Linked DNA regions of Drosophila melanogaster. Changing the gene in region 2 together with the main gene of any one other region gives a genetic interaction. Each region holds a gene or a part of one and is shown on either strand. Other genes may lie near its edges.

What was found.
Region 1: of mrn (region 2) and p53, changing one enhances a phenotype caused by changing the other (phenotypic enhancement), as found in Drosophila melanogaster (one study listed by BioGRID).
Region 3: of mrn (region 2) and Tfb5, changing one suppresses a phenotype caused by changing the other (phenotypic suppression), as found in Drosophila melanogaster (one study listed by BioGRID).

What each region holds. Positions count from the first base shown.
Region 1 is NT_033777.3:23,048,107-23,057,376, reverse strand, and holds p53 (p53), read left to right. Parts: upstream 1-3,294; 5' UTR 3,295-3,368; coding exon 3,369-3,412; exon of another isoform or gene 3,413-3,471; coding exon 3,472-3,795; exon of another isoform or gene 3,796-3,982; coding exon of another isoform or gene 3,983-4,020; exon of another isoform or gene 4,021-4,177; coding exon 4,178-4,258; exon of another isoform or gene 4,259-4,328; coding exon 4,329-4,365; exon of another isoform or gene 4,366-4,428; coding exon 4,429-4,455; exon of another isoform or gene 4,456-4,461; intron 4,462-4,473; coding exon of another isoform or gene 4,474-5,688; intron 5,689-6,146; exon of another isoform or gene 6,147-6,157; coding exon of another isoform or gene 6,158-6,187; intron 6,188-6,252; coding exon 6,253-6,562; intron 6,563-6,626; coding exon 6,627-6,873; intron 6,874-6,935; coding exon 6,936-7,330; intron 7,331-7,389; coding exon 7,390-7,412; 3' UTR 7,413-7,720; downstream 7,721-9,270. Other genes in the region: Ctns (cystinosin), read left to right, coding at 1,124-1,178, 1,239-1,335, 1,406-1,588, 1,654-2,014, 2,201-2,489, 2,546-2,648, 2,749-2,854; Gr94a (gustatory receptor 94a), read right to left, coding at 4,474-5,688.
Region 2 is NT_037436.4:15,577,485-15,583,898, reverse strand, and holds mrn (marionette), read left to right. Parts: upstream 1-3,361; 5' UTR 3,362-3,392; coding exon 3,393-3,691; intron 3,692-3,746; coding exon 3,747-4,947; 3' UTR 4,948-5,130; downstream 5,131-6,414. Other genes in the region: AIMP2 (aaRS-interacting multifunctional protein 2), read right to left, coding at 18-164; CG12301 (uncharacterized protein), read right to left, coding at 635-2,545, 2,605-3,009; Ufsp2 (UFM1 specific peptidase 2), read right to left, coding at 5,353-6,414.
Region 3 is NT_033779.5:5,008,527-5,013,843, reverse strand, and holds Tfb5 (transcription factor B5), read left to right. Parts: upstream 1-3,009; 5' UTR 3,010-3,077; coding exon 3,078-3,112; intron 3,113-3,170; coding exon 3,171-3,357; 3' UTR 3,358-3,411; coding exon of another isoform or gene 3,412-3,867; 3' UTR 3,868-3,913; downstream 3,914-5,317. Other genes in the region: vkg (viking), read left to right, coding at 1-169, 233-347, 409-632, 700-1,333; SelT (selenoprotein T), read right to left, coding at 1,982-2,432, 2,509-2,654; CG31917 (uncharacterized protein), read left to right, coding at 3,412-3,867; Rtnl1 (Reticulon-like1), read left to right, coding at 4,469-5,317.

The DNA.
Region 1 (9,270 bases), on a different chromosome or scaffold from region 2:
TTCTAATCCGCATTATCTTAATCACAATAATCCGGCGGCTTATACAGATGTTTTGCGTTAGCAGTTGGCGGCTAAAAGCCTCTGCTTGCCCACATGCCAGTGAAAGTTCTAATCCGGCTCAAACAGACGCACAACAAGCGTATCTCGTGCGTGGAATCATGAATGAATAAATGGGTGTTACTGTTAACTAACAATGGACCTTTTTACCAATCAATCGTCTTATCTATCACCAGAATTGAAACAGAATTAGTGAATAACTTATGGTGCATATCAGTTGAAACATGAAGATTCGTGTGAACGATCGTGAAAGATATGGTGTTCGAACTTTAAATTACCCTTGTAGTTTACCACTCTCATTAGTTTTGATTTATGTAGAACCAAAATTTGGATCGTGACTTGCGATTAGTATTGCAATCGCAGTGCATTGCCCAATCTATTGATTATCTGCAACTTGTGGCAGACTGCCGCAATAATTCGACGGACACTATCAGCTAGCTCCATTGATTGAGATAAGCCCGTTCTCACGCGGTGTTTTACACTTCTTGGCAATCGCCAAGTCACGGCCCTCGCCATATAAAAAATATAGTATGAACAATCGGGAATCTTTTGGTTTTACGATCGACCGACAAAGCCCATGTATTTCCTGTTACGTCCATTTGGGCCATATAGGCACATAAAATGGGTGCTCCAACGCTTGCCGTGGGAAAGTGTGCTCCAATTGCAAAGTTGTAACATTGAGCGACATTTGATGAAGGTTACCGACTTTTATCTCGACAAAAACACACACGAATTCCAGATGAAGCGAGCGTGCGTAGTTTGCACTGCAAGTTTTTTTTTTGGAACAAATAGTTTTATGTTTATATCATTTTATATCATATTATATTCCTTATTGATTGAGTGTCTGCACGGGTCATTAAATTAAGAAGCAAAAAAAAAAAAGGTGTCAGGAATTGCATTCCATACTCCTACGAGTAGATATCAATTTCACCCGATCGTGGTCAATTGGTCAATTGAAGTAATTCACAATTGAATCAATACAATACCATATAGGGCTTCATTGAAGAAGATGCCAGCAGGACTGGATGCTCATGCATGAATAAGTTGAACGTTGAACGCAAGCAGAATGGATTTCAGCACACACCGCCTGACCACTTTGCTGCTCCTCCTCCTGGCCACAGGTGAGATATCGCAATCCAGATATTGCGATCTAATAATGAGGGAATTTCTCCTGCCCACAGTTGCCCTGGGAAATGCCCAAAGCAGTCAGCTCACCGTCGATTCCCATGACATCACCGTTCTGCTGAACAGCAACGAGACTTTTCTGGTGTTCGCCAAGTGAGTTGCCATTGCCGGGAAATCCAAATCCAAAACATATGGCATCGTAAATCTATTGTGCCCATTACAGCGGATTGCTAGACAGCGACGTGGAAGTTGCGCTGGGAACAGATTCGGAGGATCATTTGCTCCTCGATCCCGCAACGTTTGTGTATCCAGCGGGCAGTACTCGAAATCAGTCGGTGGTGATAACTGGCCTCAAAGCCGGCAACGTCAAAGTGGTCGCAGATAGCGATGATGCGAACAAAGAGATGTGAGTAACTTCACGGGAATCCCAACTGTTCCCGTACCTAATTGGAAAATTCACTTATTTTCCAGTGTGAAGGATGTGTTCGTACGCGTGACTGTGGCCAAATCGAGAGCTTTGATCTACACCTCCATCATCTTTGGCTGGGTTTACTTTGTGGCCTGGTCGGTGTCCTTCTATCCGCAGATCTGGAGCAACTATCGCCGCAAGTCCGTCGAGGGACTGAACTTTGATTTCCTGGCCCTCAATATCGTGGGCTTCACCCTGTACAGCATGTTCAACTGCGGCCTCTATTTCATCGAGGATCTGCAGAACGAGTACGAGGTGCGATATCCGCTGGGAGTGAATCCTGTGATGCTCAACGACGTGGTCTTCTCACTGCATGCCATGTTCGCCACCTGCATTACGATCCTTCAGTGCTTTTTCTATCAGGTAATAATATATATAGCAAATACCATTCAATAGCCTTATCGCCGAAGTGGCAACAGTTGTCGCATTGAACACTAATTGCCATCAATCAAAATGCCAAATCATTTGAATCACAGCGGATAGTTACGATATGAAGAGTAGATAAGGTTTTGACTTGTAAAACATCCATACTTTGTTAAATTTGTCCAGAGAGCACAGCAAAGGGTGTCGTTCATTGCCTACGGAATATTGGCCATCTTCGCCGTGGTGGTCGTCGTGTCTGCCGGTTTGGCCGGAGGATCCGTCATCCATTGGCTGGACTTTCTGTACTACTGCAGTTACGTCAAGCTAACCATTACCATCATCAAGTACGTGCCGCAAGCTCTGATGAACTATCGCCGGAAGAGCACCTCCGGCTGGAGCATCGGCAACATTCTGCTGGATTTCACGGGAGGAACGCTGAGCATGCTGCAAATGATTCTGAATGCTCATAATTACGGTAGGATATAGTCTATCAATTTGTGATTTTCGAATGAAATCGTGTCTGGTTTCCAGATGATTGGGTGTCGATTTTCGGTGATCCCACCAAATTCGGACTGGGTCTGTTTTCCGTGCTCTTCGATGTGTTCTTCATGCTGCAGCACTATGTGTTTTACAGGTGATTGAAACATTGTGTGAATATGATACTTAATCTACGATTATGTCATCTCCACTGTACACTTATCATTATTGCTGTGCTGTTTTCCATTTCTCCCCAGGCATTCGAGGGAATCCTCGAGCTCTGACCTCACCACCGTGACCGATGTTCAAAATCGAACAAATGAGTCGCCGCCGCCGAGCGAAGTGACGACTGAGAAATATTAGAGCTGCATTATCATATGTCTGCTGTAGAGAAAGACTTTTGTGCCAGTAGCGCTTTATGTACATTTTTAGAATTGTAAATATATCCGTATGCCGTAGCTGCCTAAGCTTTGTATAATTCGTGCGTTTTAATTGAAATTTAGTTTGACTAAAATTTGGAATTTCACCATTAAATAAAACTTAATTTTTTGTAGGAGCCAGAAATCATACGGTACATTGCTCGACCATTCAAAGGGCTGTGCAGTGAAACCAATTTGCTGCATACGGCGCGTTATTTGCAAACTAATAAATAGATTGAAGTATTGAAAAAATTTCAAAACAGAAATTCTAACTTGCCGCACAATGGGCAGCACTGTTCGCACTCGGCCAAATCCTTATCGATAGCTTATCGATAGCCATGGATATATGACATTAAGTTAGCCAATTTCCGGTTAGTTGACATCCCTGGAGCACGGAAGATTCTTGCGGACACAAATCGCAACTGCTAAATAAAATTTATTTATTTGAGTGCACAGCCATGAGTCTTCACAAGTCCGCGTCGTTTAGCTTGACTTTTAACCAGTGAGCGGAGATATTTTATTCGGTCTTACCCAACAAAATAATGTTGCGCCTTTTTGCAGAAACACTTCGATTGTTTCGCGTAGCAATAGTCGCACAATTTTTGAAGCTTTCAAGGAGTTCCTGGATTTTTGGGATATCGGCAACGAAGTTTCTGCAGAGTCAGCAGTTCGGGTCTCCAGCAACGGAGCTTTCAACTTGCCGCAGAGTTTTGGCAACGAATCCAACGAATATGCCCACCTGGCTACGCCTGTGGATCCAGCCTACGGAGGCAACAACACGAACAACATGATGCAGTTCACGAACAATCTGGAAATTTTGGCCAACAATAATTCCGATGGCAATAACAAAATTAATGCATGCAACAAATTCGTCTGCCACAAGGGGTGAGCAAATTCAAAACACGCGCTCCAATCGATAAACATTGGCTACGGCGATTGTTCGCGCTGCGTGGCGAATGGCAAAATCCAAATAGTCGGTGGCCACTACGATTCTGTAGTTTTTTGTTAGCGAATTTTTAATATTTAGCCTCCTTCCCCAACAAGATCGCTTGATCAGATATAGCCGACTAAGATGTATATATCACAGCCAATGTCGTGGCACAAAGAAAGGTACAGTGCGGCAACAAATTGATGATCGAACAGTAGAAACCTTGCATGTAGCAACACGCTTGTACTTGCATCATTCGCGCGGCCAACTTGTTTGTGTTTGTTTATCCAGCCAAGGCGCAGTTTGCCACTAAGTTTTTATTTCCCTTTTACACTTTAGCACTGATTCCGAGGATGACTCCACGGAGGTCGATATCAAGGAGGATATTCCGAAAACGGTGGAGGTATCGGGATCGGAATTGTGAGTACCTGGTCACGTGGTCACATGTGGTTTGCCTGGTTGCTAACTATTATTGTTTTTATTATTCCAGGACCACGGAACCCATGGCCTTCTTGCAGGGATTAAACGTGAGTTGTGCTTTTAATGTGCAAAGCTATAGCTTACTAACTATTTAATATTATTCCCCGCAGTCCGGGAATCTGATGCAGTTCAGCCAGGTGGGTAACATCGATTAGCTATTGCATCTTGAAGCGCTGGGACAGATCGGCCTGCACGAGGATCAGCAGGAAGCTGGCCACCGCCGAGAAGACATTGCTGATCAGTCGCATGTCCAGCTCGTACAAGCCCAAGGGTTTAATTTGGTACTTGGTCACCGTGACCAGCAGAGTAAAGCCGTGGACTGCCTGACGGTAGCGGCTGTCCGCATGCTGGAGATTCATCTCCTGGAGAATGACTGCCGATCTTCGGGTGGCCACCAATAGGTGGTTGCACAAATGCGTGAGCAATGTGATCTCCGCCAGCGAGATGGAGAGGAAAACCAGATTGATCAGCGATCCAAGACCATCGTACGGCTTGCCCATGATTAAGGTGTCCGCTATGGCATAGTACAGACTGTAGAAACCCACCGTTATTCCGAGCAGGTGGCATATGAGCGACAGAATCATGGACAAGGACATTGGGGTCAGATACTTTCCCGAATGCACATATATCAACCTATAGCGATACGCCAGCTGGTCGAGTTCATCCGCCAAGGCGCAAAATCGCTGCATGCGGTAGTATTTAGTGTACAACTTTAGCTGGTCCTTCCTCTGCAGCAGATTCACCTCCTGCAGCTGCGCTTCCAGCCGTCTGTTCAGAGCGTACAGAATCTCCTTCACCACCACCATTGCGCCAAAGTAGCAGTTATTGAGAAAATTCGAAATAATTAAGGGAAACAGCCGGTACAAGGTCCAGATCAAGCTCATCTCGGGATGCTGCCGCCTCTGTTGCAGTATGAAAGCCACTTCAATTGTTAGAGGAAAAGCCACGGTCTTGACCAGAGCCAAAACGATGGATATGTACAGCGACCTGCTGTCCAGACGGAATTCTTTTAGGGTATCAAAGAAGGGCACTTTGCTCAACACCTTGGCCACATGGTCACTGATTATCATTTGCGACACATAGTTAATAACAGCCACCGTAATGTTCATATAGCTGTACAGAGTGGTGGCGTCCTTCAGGTTGATCTGACCCTCCTGGTACTCCTTGTAGATTTGCCGCCCGTAAACCAAGCTGAATGCAATTGCCCACAGCGAAGCAAAGGCCAGATTTGCCTTTGAGAAGCGGAATCTTTCACGACGGCCCGCCCGATATCGATTGGCCAGGAGTCCGAAGACGGTCATAAAGCCTATCAGTATGATCGTCAGAAATTTCACCATACGCCGATGCGCGTAGTCGCTGGTGAAGTCCATTTCTCTCGAACAATTAATACAAACTGTGAGCGCACTTTCCACAGCATTAATATCTGCTTAATTGTTTTCCAACTACCCAACTGATGCCATCTAGAGGACCTGTCAAGTAGCCGGACACTATCGGGACACATCGCGAAACGCATGTATTTCACCGGCCGTCCAGAAACCAACTGAGCATGCGTTGTGCTACTACTAGCCACAAACAAAAGAGCATAAGAAGCGTGAGGGAAGCGGCATTCCTTGCGTGACTCAGCCGCTGCCTGCAATTTCATAAGAGCGACATGACGTCAAAGTCGCTTCGAAGTTCACTTTCAGTTGGAGGACAGAACAAAACACTCTTATCTAGCCGATTAGCACGGTGCACTCCTTCCCGTCGTCATCGTTTAGCGAGAATTTCAAGCACTTGTGAAAAATAGAATAGAATACAAAACAAATCGCCAGTCCATTTGTAACTCGAGCAAGCTGGAACATGAAGCTCTATCAGCTCTATGAGCGCAAAGTGTGAACCCTTATATGATTGCGAGTTAAGTTGACATTCAAATAATATCTTGTTTTTGCTTACAGCAATCCGTGCTGCGCGAAATGATGCTGCAGGACATTCAGATCCAGGCGAACACGCTGCCCAAGCTAGAGAATCACAACATCGGTGGTTATTGCTTCAGCATGGTTCTGGATGAGCCGCCCAAGTCTCTTTGGATGTACTCGATTCCGCTGAACAAGCTCTACATCCGGATGAACAAGGCCTTCAACGTGGACGTTCAGTTCAAGTCTAAAATGCCCATCCAACCACTTAATTTGCGTGTGTTCCTTTGCTTCTCCAATGATGTGAGTGCTCCCGTGGTCCGCTGTCAAAATCACCTTAGCGTTGAGCCTTGTAAGTGAAGATAACAATACAGATCGAACAGGATTATTTAACTATCATTTGTACAAACCTTTAGTGACGGCCAATAACGCAAAAATGCGCGAGAGCTTGCTGCGCAGCGAGAATCCCAACAGTGTATATTGTGGAAATGCTCAGGGCAAGGGAATTTCCGAGCGTTTTTCCGTTGTAGTCCCCCTGAACATGAGCCGGTCTGTAACCCGCAGTGGGCTCACGCGCCAGACCCTGGCCTTCAAGTTCGTCTGCCAAAACTCGTGTATCGGGCGAAAAGAAACTTCCTTAGTCTTCTGCCTGGAGAAAGCATGGTAAGGTGACAGCAAAACTCTAGATGGCTAGAACAAAGCTTAACGTGTTTTCTTTCTTGCAGCGGCGATATCGTGGGACAGCATGTTATACATGTTAAAATATGTACGTGCCCCAAGCGGGATCGCATCCAAGACGAACGCCAGCTCAATAGCAAGAAGCGCAAGTCCGTGCCGGAAGCCGCCGAAGAAGATGAGCCGTCCAAGGTGCGTCGGTGCATTGCTATAAAGACGGAGGACACGGAGAGCAATGATAGCCGAGACTGCGACGACTCCGCCGCAGAGTGGAACGTGTCGCGGACACCGGATGGCGATTACCGTCTGGCTATTACGTGCCCCAATAAGGAATGGCTGCTGCAGAGCATCGAGGGCATGATTAAGGAGGCGGCGGCTGAAGTCCTGCGCAATCCCAACCAAGAGAATCTACGTCGCCATGCCAACAAATTGCTGAGCCTTAAGAGTAAGCAGTGAATCGGAGGACAAAGAGATTAAGCTTTACTTACCGAACTTTCCTTTCAGAACGTGCCTACGAGCTGCCATGACTTCTGATCTGGTCGACAATCTCCCAGGTATCAGATACCTTTGAAATGTGTTGCATCTGTGGGGTATACTACATAGCTATTAGTATCTTAAGTTTGTATTAGTCCTTGTTCGTAAGGCGTTTAACGGTGATATTCCCCTTTTGGCATGTTCGATGGCCGAAAAGAAAACATTTTTATATTTTTGATAGTATACTGTTGTTAACTGCAGTTCTATGTGACTACGTAACTTTTGTCTACCACAACAAACATACTCTGTACAAAAAAGCCAAAAGTGAATTTATTAAAGAGTTGTCATATTTTGCAAACATATCCTCGTGGTGTACGCCAATGCCCAGAGCCTACTGTACCCCCACCGTGGAGCACATGCTATGTGACATGTGTGGCTTGTGTGCGGTCAATGCACTCAGGATGCAACTCAGCTAGCTAGCTGCTAATATGTCAAAATTGCTGCGTCGCATTTACATACTTTATTTATACCCGTATCTGCACGTCTTTGGTTTTAGTTCTATGCTTTCAAAAAAAAAAAAACAACCTCAAGCAGGGCGCATGCGTTGCGCCAGCGTTGCACATGTGCGAGGATGCAAAAAAGTGCAACAAACACCAGATGTTGACACTGTGCCGCTGCAGCTGCAGGCGACTTTAGCTTTTGCCACATGCGGCAGCTAAATGTTTACTCTAGCCCACCGATCGCTGTTCATTGACCTAGGGCAGGGGCATTAAGTGCGCCCTAATCGTAACGGAATGATAGCCTCTGTGTCCAAAAATTCAGCCAAAGCGGATGCACTCACTTCCATTTGGGGCCTGTCCTTCTTCGACCGGCTGCCACTTCCACTACCAGTTTGGCACCACGAAAATGGGTCGTTCAAAGTGCTCAAAACCCAGCGGAGCAACTCACTCAATTCTCGTTGGACGAGCGCACAGAAAAGTGGTTTTGGATACGAGTTGAGTTCGAGAGACCTTTCTGCACTGGGAACATACATGCGGCTTTGTGTAACAGAATAATAAAGTACGCAAACATATCTGTAATACTTAAAGCACAAAGAACAAATATAAATGTATCATAATTTGTTTAATTATTTATTCGAGGTTTCCAAACAAGTCATTCTGATAACAAAAGTTGTAAAAATAAAATCCACTAAAATTAAATATCACCCACTTCTCAGAATAAGCACAGCTGTATATACTTCAGTATATATTTTTTTCAGTGCACTTTTCCCAAGCGATGCAATCGCCTTAGAAGCCCAATTAAATACGTTTCTTTGATTGGCGGGTGCCAAAAGGTTGACAATTCGAAAGTGGCGCACACTGGGAGGCAGTGACTCATAATTTACATAATTATTTCGGGAAGATATTAAGACTCATACTATATTCAAGCAGTTGTTTATCATTTTAAACTGGCAGATACCCCATCTTTACGGACCAGATAAAGGGAAAGCAAACACGGCTGGGCTCTTATCGGCTACGATCTTCATCCGCAGTTCCCACTGTGCGCGTGGGGAAAACAATATGGCCCAAACACATAAAAAACAACAAAAAAAGGAAACAACCACAGAAAGCCGGGCTAAGACGTCAGGTGAAACGCAGTAGCTTCACTCGCGACTCGGCGCTTCCACTCAAAGGTGCTACCGCTGCCCACTCAAATCTGCAGCTCGTAGATACGAAAACCAGATAGCGTCGAGCGGCTGGCGATCTTCACTCAATGGGGGGAAATACTGCTATAGAGTCGAAAGCTTGTACACGTAGTTTGGCATTCGCAGTCGCTTGTTGGCGTTTTTAGTCTGCTGCCTGATCTTCGACGCGCTGCAGCTGTTTTGGAGTCGCCGCGAGTGCCATATTTGCTTTGACCGCGAAAATTTCT
Region 2 (6,414 bases):
CCGGCAAATAAACTTACGCATGATGATGTGGACGCGGATGTGGATGCGGATGTGGAGGAGCCGCTGGCCAAGGAATCCGCCGCCAGGCTAACGTTCTTGAGAGGATACATGCAGGTGGGCAGCTTTATGTCGAATTGCGGCAGCAGAGTCTTCAGTTCGTACATTTTCGCGGCGAGAATCGTTGGATAAACACAATAACCTGCGCAAATTATCAATTCCAAAATGTGCTTGCCGTCTGTGAGAAACTTTACAAAATACCAAATAATTTAAGGCAACGCTATCGCTATCGTTCCACTTAACACCATTAATCTGGTCACATTGCGTGCGGTAATGAAAGCTATTGAATTCAAATTTAAAATGTAGTTTTTATACATTTTATACTTCATCCAGAATATTCTGCTTGGTCAACTACTGTTGTGTCGTTATACCTTTAACGAAAATCAAACAAAACATTGTTTAACTCTTTTTAATTCAAGTTTTTTTTATAGAAATGTCTCAGTTATTAACAAAAATAAAAAACAATTTGAGAAAATAATGCAATTTATATAATAATTTCCCTTTCTATAGCTAAGTAAATTAGGAGACTGGCAATCGTTCATATTATTCAGATTTATTTTTAAAAATATTCCTAGTTCTATGCTATCTTGGCCTTGGGTGGCACTTTCGGTATGCGCTTTATCCTCCTGTCCACGATGTGGCGTAGACGCCTGTCCGGCTTGACCAGCTCGCTCTCTGTCATGGGCTCGATTACCTGGCCCTTGCGCGTGATTACTGCCGGACGGGTCAGCATGCGGAACGCCGTCTCCGGCACAAAGTTCCGGCCAACTGGAGCACGGATACTGGCTTCGTAGTCTGCCAGGGATCGGAAAGGAAATGGTATGCTGGAGACCATGTGCTGGCGCGCCTGCTTGCTGGCGGACTCGTTGAGGTAAAGATTATCCTTATTCTCGTCACGACGCTTTTCCGGAGCAGCCAACTTAAGAAGAAGCCGCTTGTTTCGTCGCTCCATTACCTCCTTCGAAATGCCAGCACCCGCCCAGGAACCCCATCCAGGCAGGGCGAGCTGAAGCTCAGTGTTCTTAAGCTCGGAGTCCTTGCTTTTGTCCCGATTAAAATCAGCTACAATGTCATCATCCTCGAAGGCTTGACTGATTGTCAACTGGCGTTCAGCAGCGGCGTCTTCCTCGTCGTATTCAGCTGCTTCATCGTCTATTAGAGCATCGTTAAAGCCTCCCGAGTTGCCCTTCTTTTGGGTAAACACCAAAGTTGTCACCTTGTTGGGATCTATGGTATCCACAGCTGGAATTTCCGTGCTTTCTGTGTTACCTTCAACGTGGGCAGGGATATTATTCTGTGAATTTTTATCCTCCTCGTAGTTAAGGGGCTCGTCAATCTCTATCTGTTGCTTTGTCTTTTTTAAAGCCAGACTTTTTAGGTTTTGCAAGACGTCCTTCTTTTTCGCCTTCTTTCCCTTGACAGGAACTTCTTTAAGTTTGTTTATCCGTTCCCTCAATTTCTCCATTTTCTTATTTAGTTTGGCTCTGATATGATCCTCGTGTTTCTCAAAAATGTCATCAATGGCTTTTGAATTCGGGCTTGCCTTGGCTTCTTTCTGATCAGTTGGGCAAATATCTTCCACCTCCCAGCCATTTTCTATCTTAACTTTCGATTTCTTAAGTTTCTTCTTAGCAGGTTTTACTTCTATTAATGGTTTCCGAATAGTTTCTTTCTCCTCCTGCTCGTCATTATCCTGGACTCCTTCCAAATCCCTACGATGCTCCTCCAGTAACTTTTCGTTTTTATTCCTTTTTGTCCAATATTGCCGCCAATTGGAACCCTCACTTTCACCATTTCCATTTTCCGTTTGCTCTGTAGCTTTTCTTTTTGTCCAAGGATTAAAGGGATCGTAGTCATTATCCTCCTCCTCGGGTAAAACTCTCTTCTTGGTGGTTTCATCTTCGCTGTCTGACACCTGCTTTTTCTGGGTCAGTTCCCTGCTAACAGCCAACTGCTCGGCCAGATCCTTTCGCACATCCTTGTCGTACTTGGCCCGTATCTGCAGATTCTTCGCCCAAGTACCGGTGTTCTTGTGCCGCAGGCTGGCACGCTCCTGCACTCGACTCTTTTCCAGGGCATTAAGCTTTTCCAGCGCCGCCTCTGGATCGGTTTTCTGCAGCAACTCGAACTCCTTCATCTGCTCCAACATTTTTTGTCTCTTCTGCAGCTTGTGGAACTTTTTCGATTTGATTTTGTTTTGCATGCGCGCCTTTGCTGACTTTTGAGACTCGCGCATCTTCAGGTAAGCTAGCTCCTTGCGACGGGCAAATAGTTCGTCCCTGGTAAGCTTCTTTTGTAGTAAAAGCCGCTCTTGCTTGGCCAGCTCCTTTTCATCCGTGGTATCCCCAATTTGCGCTTTGCGCAGTTCCCGTAGTTTACGGTTGTTAGCCTCGAGTTCTTGAGCAAGATTGGACTTGACCCGGGTGTTTAGAGGCCTGGCATTTGCCGCAGTATTTACGTAAACCGTTTCAGATGGTAGGGGGAAGATCTGTAATAAGTTTTGGAGATTATATGTGTATGTCACTGTTAGCATTGGCATTCATTCACCTGCGTCTCCGCAGATCTCTGTTGAGCCACCACAGCATCCCAACGACCGAGTTTCTTGGTAACTCCCTCGTAGCCAATGGTCCGTTTAATTCGATCCGCAGCTGGTTTCTCCAGCGGCTTCTGTAGCACCTTTTTGCTGCCATGGATGTTCTTGAGCTTCTTGCCCGTCTGACTGTGCTTGGTGGAGGTGCGTAGGATGTCTACCAGATCGTTCAGACCCACGGCTCTGGGGGCATGATCCGTTTCCGCTGACGAAACACCTTTTACCAGCTGGAACTCATCCTGGAGCGACTGCCGCTCGTCGCGCGTGGACTTCTGGATGTGCTGCACCTTGCCCAGACTGCCGATGGCCTGCAGCAGCTTCTTGTGTGCCTTTGGTTCGTAGTGCTCCTCGTCGTCACTCATTTTTGTCAGGAAAATATTTAAAATCAAATAACAATACAAAAATACTTCGCGCAGCACGTGTGCAGAATAACAGCTGAAGAGTTATCGATAAGTTTTGCGGCCCATCACAATTTCTACCTGTGCTCGATAGCATGAGTGTGGAAAATGGAGCTGCCTTCTTTTAAAAATTAACTTAAATATAATAACATTTACTACTCAATACATATATCTATGCATCAAAAATCAATTGATTTTTTTTTAACAATAAATGTACTTTTAACTCAGCGAAAACCCCCTTCGTAACGCCCTTGATGATTACTATCGATTGTCCCCCCACGAAAGACCGGCTATCGATGACAACGGGATGAAAATATTTTGTTTACGAATTCGACATTCGAATCGTCATGGCCGACACGAAATCCGGTAGTGGTCGGCATTCGGCTGCCGGGGGAAGTGGAAACGCCGTCCTGTCGCCCTTGGGGCAGGGTCCTGCGAACTTGGAGTGTAAGGACTTTCAGGAGTATCTGCGCACCCGCCAAACGCCAGAGTCGCTGGAGAAGCTGTACAACTATCCGCCCATTTGTTTGGCCGTTTTTCGGGAGCTTCCAGAGATAGCCCGGCAGTTTATCATAAGGATACTGTTCGTGGATCAGCCTGTGCCACAAGCGGTGGTCACATCATGGGGTGCCCAACGTTGTGCCAAGTATGACTGTATCCAATTGGATAAACAATATCATTGCAATGCATTACTTTTGCAGGGAGCAAGCCGAGGCAACCAGCTGCCTGACGGCTTTGAACGTCTGGCGGGTCACAGCCATTCCGGGTGGCCTTTCTGCGTGGGAGCTCTCGCCCACCTTCAAGAAAAGCGTACGCCAGGTGCTGCTGGGCGGCGGAAAACCTTGGCCTATGACCAACACGCTGGATAAGGACTCGAAGCCCAGGGACATTGCTTTTCTGGATACATACGCCATGTCCCGCTGGCGTTGCGTGTTGCACTACATGGTCGGCACCGGAAATCGCAATGGCACCGATGCGGAGGCCATTAGTCCGGACGCCGTTCGGATTCTGCTGCACGCCAATCTCATGAAACGTGATGAACGAGACGGTATCACAATAACCCGGCAGGGCTTTCAGTTCCTGCTGCTGGACACGCGAGCTCAGGTGTGGCATTTTATGCTACAGTACCTGGACACGTGCGAAGAAAGAGGAATCAGCCTGCCGGAATGCTTGTCCATGTTGTTCCAGCTCAGTTTTTCAACGCTGGGCAGGGATTACAGTTCCGAGGGCATGAACAGTCAGATGCTGACATTCCTGCAGCATCTACGGGAGTTTGGACTGGTCTTCCAACGTAAGCGTAAGGAGGGACGCTTCTATCCCACACGTTTGGCTCTGAATGTGACAAGCAAGGAGGCGGCTGCGACTGCATCTGTGGCCATGGATGAGGAGGCCACTCAGGACTGTGGCTACATTGTGGTGGAGACGAACTACCGAGTGTATGCCTACACTGATTCTCCGCTCCAGGTAGCCGTGTTAGGTCTGTTCACGGAGCTTCTCTACCGCTTTCCCAATCTCGTCGTGGGCGTGCTAACCCGCGATTCAGTGCGCCAGGCGTTGCGTGGCGGTATCACGGCAGAGCAGATTGTCTCGTATCTGGAGCAGTATGCGCATCCCAATATGCGCATGGTCGAGTCAGCCATTCACTCTAAATCCTGCCTGCCACCCACAGTCGTTGATCAAATTAAGCTGTGGGAATTAGAGCGAAATCGCTTCACCTACACCGAAGGCGTGCTGTACAATCAGTTCCTCTCGCATACAGATTTCGTAACGCTACGAGACTACGCCCAGTCGATCCACATGCTGGTGTGGCAAAATGAGCGAACTCGCACAATGGTGGTGCAAAAGAATGGCCACGACGATGTCAAGCGTTACTGGAAGAAGTACTCTAAGAGTGGTGTTTAGCCCGGTATTACGACCAATTATTGGGAAGTTATTTTAGAAGTAACATCTGTGCCCATTTTGTTACAAGCTAAAATTTTAAAATATGGTTTAATAAGGGAGTGTGGGATTACACATTTATCATCGACATTCAACATACAAGTGGAATAAAATTAAAATACACAAGTATCATACACATAAAAACAGAAAACCACCAAAGCTTTTCCTAGATTGTCCTTTAGGATGGGTCGACATGTAATATTGCTAAACGTAAAAAACAGTGAAGAGACAACTAACAAATGCATACAAAATAATTTTATTTACCCAATAAAATAGAAAATTTAGAATGTCCTATACGTTATACCTAAAGAAAGCATATCGAAACATCCTCGCCTACCTAAATGCGAGTGGAAAAGAAACTAGCTCAACCTAATACAAAATGGGACGCTGGGGCATGCAGAGATTGTAGTAGCTGCCCTTGGCCCAAAAGTCCATGCCCTTCCAGCCGCACCAACCTTTAATTTGAATGGTGGCCAAATCATCGGCACCTGTATAATGGGGATCCAAGATGAGGAACTTCACCTGACCCGTCTGCACGCAGTAGTCCACCCCGATAATGGTGTGGGCCAGAACACCGCCACCAATCATTACCGGTGTACCTTGCGTTTGGAAATGCATCGCCAGCTCGGAGGCAATAGTCGCCAGCTCAGCTCCAGAGGCTACGTGCAGAATTTTTGAGTCCACGTTAAGGAATCCCTGCAGACACATGCTGATTTCTGTGGAACCAATCCACTGAGAAGAACCCACGAATGCAGCAGGTTTGTCGTTGATCTTGTGAAGGTATTCCTGCACCTCCAGATGCGTCGGAATCGGTGCGTTCGTATAACCCTGCAGCACAAACCAGGAGCAGATCGTCTGCAGCGAGCGATATGCGCATCCCCATCCCTTGTCCTGCACCTGCTGTTGCAGGTAATGATAGTAATGGTAGTTACCATTTACTAAGTACTCTTTGCCGTCGACAACTCCACTGGGACGTAATCCGATGTGGGTATTTAGCAGCGGAGTCCATGGTGCGTCCTCCGTTTCACCTAGGAAAAGCATCTGGTTGGCCCTGCGGAAATAAGGACGACTGATGGGCAAAGCAAACTGTCGATGCAGGCGCTTGCGTCTCATTAGCATGCTTGGTGTATCGTCACTCAGACCTTCCAGATAGGCGCAGCTCACGAAGTGACCAAACTCTTGTGGGTAGAAGTGATAGCTAGCGGGCACCAGCAGCTTTCCACTTCCCGACTCCGTGAGATGCTCAATCAGGCTCAGTTCGAACAATCTGAGACCTCTGCAGATGCTCTCGATGAGTACGTCGTATAGCCGTTGGAGCTTCGTTTTGCGGCAGAGAATGGCCATGGCTTCGATCTCTAATGGTACCTGGACTCGGATCTGTTCCTCATTGGTCACAGCAATGCTGAGTGCCGGATGAGGTGGCTCTCCGGA
Region 3 (5,317 bases), on a different chromosome or scaffold from region 2:
GCTCCTGTATGATGCGGTTTACAACCATGCCGTACATGCTGTGCGACATCACCAACGTCTGCCACTTTGCCCAGAACAACGATGACAGTCTCTGGCTGTCCACCGCCGAACCCATGCCAATGACCATGACGCCCATCCAGGGCAGGGACCTCATGAAGTACATTTCGCGGTAAGTGCCAATTTCCTCCTCCCCTAGAAATCCCTTAGACTATTGACATGTCTTGTTCCTCAGTTGCGTTGTGTGCGAAACGACGACCAGGATCATCGCCCTCCACTCGCAATCCATGTCCATTCCGGACTGTCCAGGCGGCTGGGAGGAGATGTGGACCGGCTACAGTTACTTCATGGTAGGTTACTATTCTCAGCATAAGGAATTAAAGGTTAACCCACCGTTACCCAACCTTTCAGAGCACCTTGGACAACGTCGGTGGCGTTGGGCAGAACCTCGTCTCCCCGGGCTCTTGCTTGGAGGAGTTCCGCGCCCAGCCGGTGATCGAGTGCCATGGCCATGGACGCTGCAACTACTACGATGCGCTGGCCTCCTTCTGGTTAACCGTCATCGAGGAGCAGGATCAGTTCGTCCAGCCGCGCCAGCAGACGCTAAAGGCGGATTTTACCAGCAAGATAAGCAGGTGGGTTACTTGAGCAAACCCATTAGCTGTATACATATGTATCTACAATGGCGGTATCATCTTTCAGGTGCACGGTTTGCCGTCGTCGAGGCAACAGCTTTGTGGCTCGCACTGCAAAGTCCAGGGCAGATGCGTCTTCCGGTTTCACAGATGGTTCTGCCTCGAGTAATCCTTCGGGCAGTTTGAAAACAGATGGCAATTACAGGGCAAACTGGCAATCCGGCCGGTCTTCCAGTCCTGGCTCTCAGTCCAGTCCTGGTTCCAGCTCCGGATCCTGGTCATCTGGATCCAATGCCGGAGCTTATCCTGGCTCCAATGCCGGAGCTTATTCTGGCTCCAATGCCGGAGCTTATCCTGGCTCCAATGCCGGAGCTTATCCTGGCTCCAACGCCGCCTGGCAATCGAGGACCAATGCTGGATCCAGCTGGCATTCCGGACCCGTAGCAGGATCGGTCTCCAATCCGGGATCGTACTCTAGCTGGTCCACGGGCTCCAGTCCTGGTTCCAATCCCGAATCTAACGCCGGGTCCACGCGCTCCTCTTGGATCACGCGCAGTCGCGGCCCATCAAACTATCTGAACGGAAGGTACCAGCAAAGGGTTCACCCGAGCAACCTGCAGGCCTACGATGAGTATGCTCGCCATGGTGGCAATACCCGCCAGTACAACCGACGCCCACGCGAGGACACCACCGCCCCCTAGATTGCAGTTCGAACTAAGTAGCAGTTAAATATACGTCTTAAGTAATTTGCTATCCTATCCAGGAAACGAGATAACGATCCAAACCCCAACTCGAGTACCAAACAAACAAAACTTTAACCACAGAACAGTGCCATTTTCCGTGGAGATGTAATCTAATTACGTGGACACCAAAAACTAAAACCATATGACACATATGCCACATACCAAATATAATTATGGAATTATGGAAGAGGGGTCGAGAAGAGTAACCACTGCCTCCACTGCAACGAAAGTAAATCTTGTGCCCCTGTTGGGATTATTGTAAACGTAACACAACCAAAAAGAAAGCCCAGTTTTTTGATAAATAAAATGTACAACACATAAAACGAATGCACAAGAAATTTCGTTTGATTGAAATTAAAGCGAACTTTATATCCCATCTAAATCCGATCAAATGCGATTTTGTTCGGTTCGGATTGGATGCGTTTAGGATGTGTAGAGTAGGCTATAGTTGGGGTGAAAACAGAAATACAGCTAAGTGGATAATGTCGGGACAAGAGCTTATGTTTAAGTTAGGTTCAGAGCCGGAAATCGATGTCTGCGGCTGTTTTGGTGTTGTCCAACTGCTGTTTTCCGCGCTCCTCCGTCCGTCCAGTCAGTCCAATGCTATTATTTAACAAAGTCCGGATTCTCCTGCACCTTTTCGGTGAACTGCAGATGGTTGTCGATGATTTGAAAGAGTACCTCCGGCGAGGGAAAGCGTCCCGTCTGCAGTTTCGACCACACAGGCACATCGTTTAGTGTTATCTCGAAAGCGCCGGACGAGATGAGCTGGGCCTCGAGCATGTTGCCCAGGAAGAAGATCATCATGCAGGCGTATATCTTGTTAGCCTGCATGTGGCTCCACCAACTGGGCGTGTTCAGGCCAAGGAAGGTGAACGGACTGACCGCACTGACCACGGACACAATGATTATGATCTTCAGGGCGAATATCATCTTGGAGAGGTAATAGTTTAGACCCGGCGGATCGTAGTTGCCGCCATTCACCTGAATTTGCGGATACTTCTCGCCCAGCAGGCCCACGTAGTCCTCGAACGCCTTGCGATAGCCGCAGGAGTAGCTATTTGGCGAATCAATGGTGAGAAACACAGAGGTCATTGTTATCAATTATGTTAATTGCCCCGCATATAACGCACCAGTAAAGGAAAGTCATCGTCGGCGCTATGTTCTGTCCGAATTTGGTAACCGGTATCTCCTTCTCGCCCTCGGCGAACACCAGGGCGTATCCGGCGCACAGGCACAGCACCAGTAGTGCCACATTCCTTCCGGTCAGCCTTTCCATTGCGTGCTTATGGTCTGATTTAATTAGGAATTTAATTTGGAATTCAATATTTCCTCACACTTTTGCCTTGGTGTTTGTCCGTGTGACTGGCAAATACCCCGCTACTTCTGTCTACTTTTCGTAGTGAGTAGCACTGATAGGGCTGGCAAAATAGCTATATTTCTTAAAGTACGAAACTTCCGACGGTGAAACTAACATAATATAGTTAATATCGGGTGCTGGTTTAAAGCAATGTGTTATATTTCGTTGATTGTAAATATTATATTGCCATGCTGAAATTATTGATTAAATTATCAAGTAAAGTCAAAAAAATATCGATAGTAAAGACTGCCACCTCTAGCCTACGTTTCACTGTGAATATGTCATTCAGCTCTGAGAATTGGTGAGATTGTTTATTAATTTCGGCAAACAAATGCTGGCAACATGGTAAATGTTATGAAAGGAGTGCTGGTGGAGTGGTAAGTGGTATACGTTTGGTATGCGTTGGTTTCGCTATATTCAACCCAATCCCCGCAGTGATCCTGCTATGAAACAATTCCTGCTGCACTTGGACGAAAAACTGGCTCTGGGACGCAAATTCATTATCCAGGATCTGGACGAGAACCATTTGTTTATCTCCACGGACATTGTGGAAGTTTTGCAGGCGCGAGTGGACGACTTGATGGATCGGATAAGCTTTCCGCTGCACGACAAGGACGCTTAGAACCTACACAACCCATAAAATCCAATAGCCAAAAGTAAAAACCTAAAAACAACCATGACGGGTCGCGAATCCAACCGCATCAAGGACGCTGAAAAGAAGCGTGTCCTGGACTCCACAGCCCGCCAGCGGCGTGCCCGCAAAGCCTTGGAGGCTCTGGAGCAGGACAACTACCACGATGACCCACACGCCGACCTTGTCATGTCCAAGAAGTTGCCCAAATTCCAGGACAGCCTGAAGACCGGCAAGGAGAAGAAAGGCAAGCGCAAGGGCGCCGAATACTTTCTCGTCAAGTATCGCAAGAACTTCCAGCAACTGCTCGAGGAGGACAAGGACAAGCAGCCCAACTACGAGAGCGCCGCAGCGCCGGCTCCACAAAAGCCACTGCGGCATTTCTGCGCCGTTTGCGGCAACTTCTCGTTGTACTCGTGCACCGCCTGCGGAACGCGATACTGTTGCGTTAGATGCCTGCAAACGCACCAGGACACGCGCTGCCTCAAGTGGACGGCCTGAGCATGGTTGTTATGTTTACAAATAAATCAAACATTAGGCATAACTGAATTGCGCGAAGTTTCTGGAAATACATACAACAAATTTTAGCTGTCGTGAATTTTAGCCAATTTGCCAGAGCCATTGGGTTAATGTCATGGCTAAAGATGCCGGCAACATCAAAACTTTGGTTCGAAACATGGCTGTTCAAGGTATTTGTCCATTTTTAGGCAATTATGCTGTGAGCGTCATCGATAGTATCGACCGCTGTGCCACCTCTAGCGCAGGTCCATTGAAACTTTTCAAACGTCTGCATCGACGGCGCCTGTAAAAGAGTCGCTGTGGTTCAAATTAAATTCAACGTTCCCGAGCACAAAACACTGCGAATTGCGGCCTTTTAGTCACCAGAAGGCACTTAAGTCGGCTAAAAAAAATCATATTAATTTCAACCGGCAAAATCAGCTGTAGCTCGGTGCCTGTGCGTGTGTGTGTGGGTGTGTCGTGTGCGTGCGTACGTGTGTGTGTGTGCGAAGTTCCAATCAGAAGGCCAGGATATTCAAACACATCTGTGAAAATTTCTTATTGATCACAAGTGTTATATTTTGAAATCAAAACACTGTAGAATATGGATCGGAACTTCGACGAACTGAAAAAGGAGGCCGCTGCCACCAACGAGGACATCTTCAAGCAGGCGCAACGTGCCTACGAAGACTCTGCACTTGGTGGCGATACTGGCAATGTGAGTGGTGGTGCCCAGGACGATAATGCCCACACGGAGCACTACTTCGCCAACGAGCAAAAGAAGTTGGACTTTGGCGATGCGCAGGAGTTTGTCCAACGCCTGGCCGCCGACGCTAAGGATGCCAAACTCGATTTGGACACCAAGTTTGCACAGAAGACTGATGATTTCGAGGACTTTCTGCGCGACGCTGGCAAGGAGGTGAAGCAGGGCATCAGTGGACTGACCACCGACTTTATGAATGCCGAGCGGGGCTTCTCCGCTCCCCTGGCTCCATTCTCAGAGACGGTAGCTCAAGCTCCGGTTATTCCAGCACAAGCTCCAGCTGTTCCCGATCATGCTCCGGCCGTTCCAGCTCCAGTGGCGCCAGCTCCTGCTGTCCCAGCTCCGCTTCCTGTCGAGGAGGACCTCCTGGGCAGCTTCACTGACCAGCCATCGGCACCACTCCAGGCCTTCCAGCCAACGGCACCGTCCACGGCCAATTTCTATGACGACGAGGAGGATGACTTCCTGGGCAAGCCAACCACTGCTGCCCCAGCAGCTCCTGTCGCCCCATTGACCAAGGCCAACCAGGATTCCGACACTGAATCGCCGTCCGTCTCGTACACACCATCGCCGGCCAAGAAACCCATTGTAGATGCCCTCAAGGATCAGGACAACGAGAAGTTCATCTCGTCGGAAGATCTGGCCAGCGATTTTAAGGAGGAGCCACGCTCAGCACCCACACCAGCACCC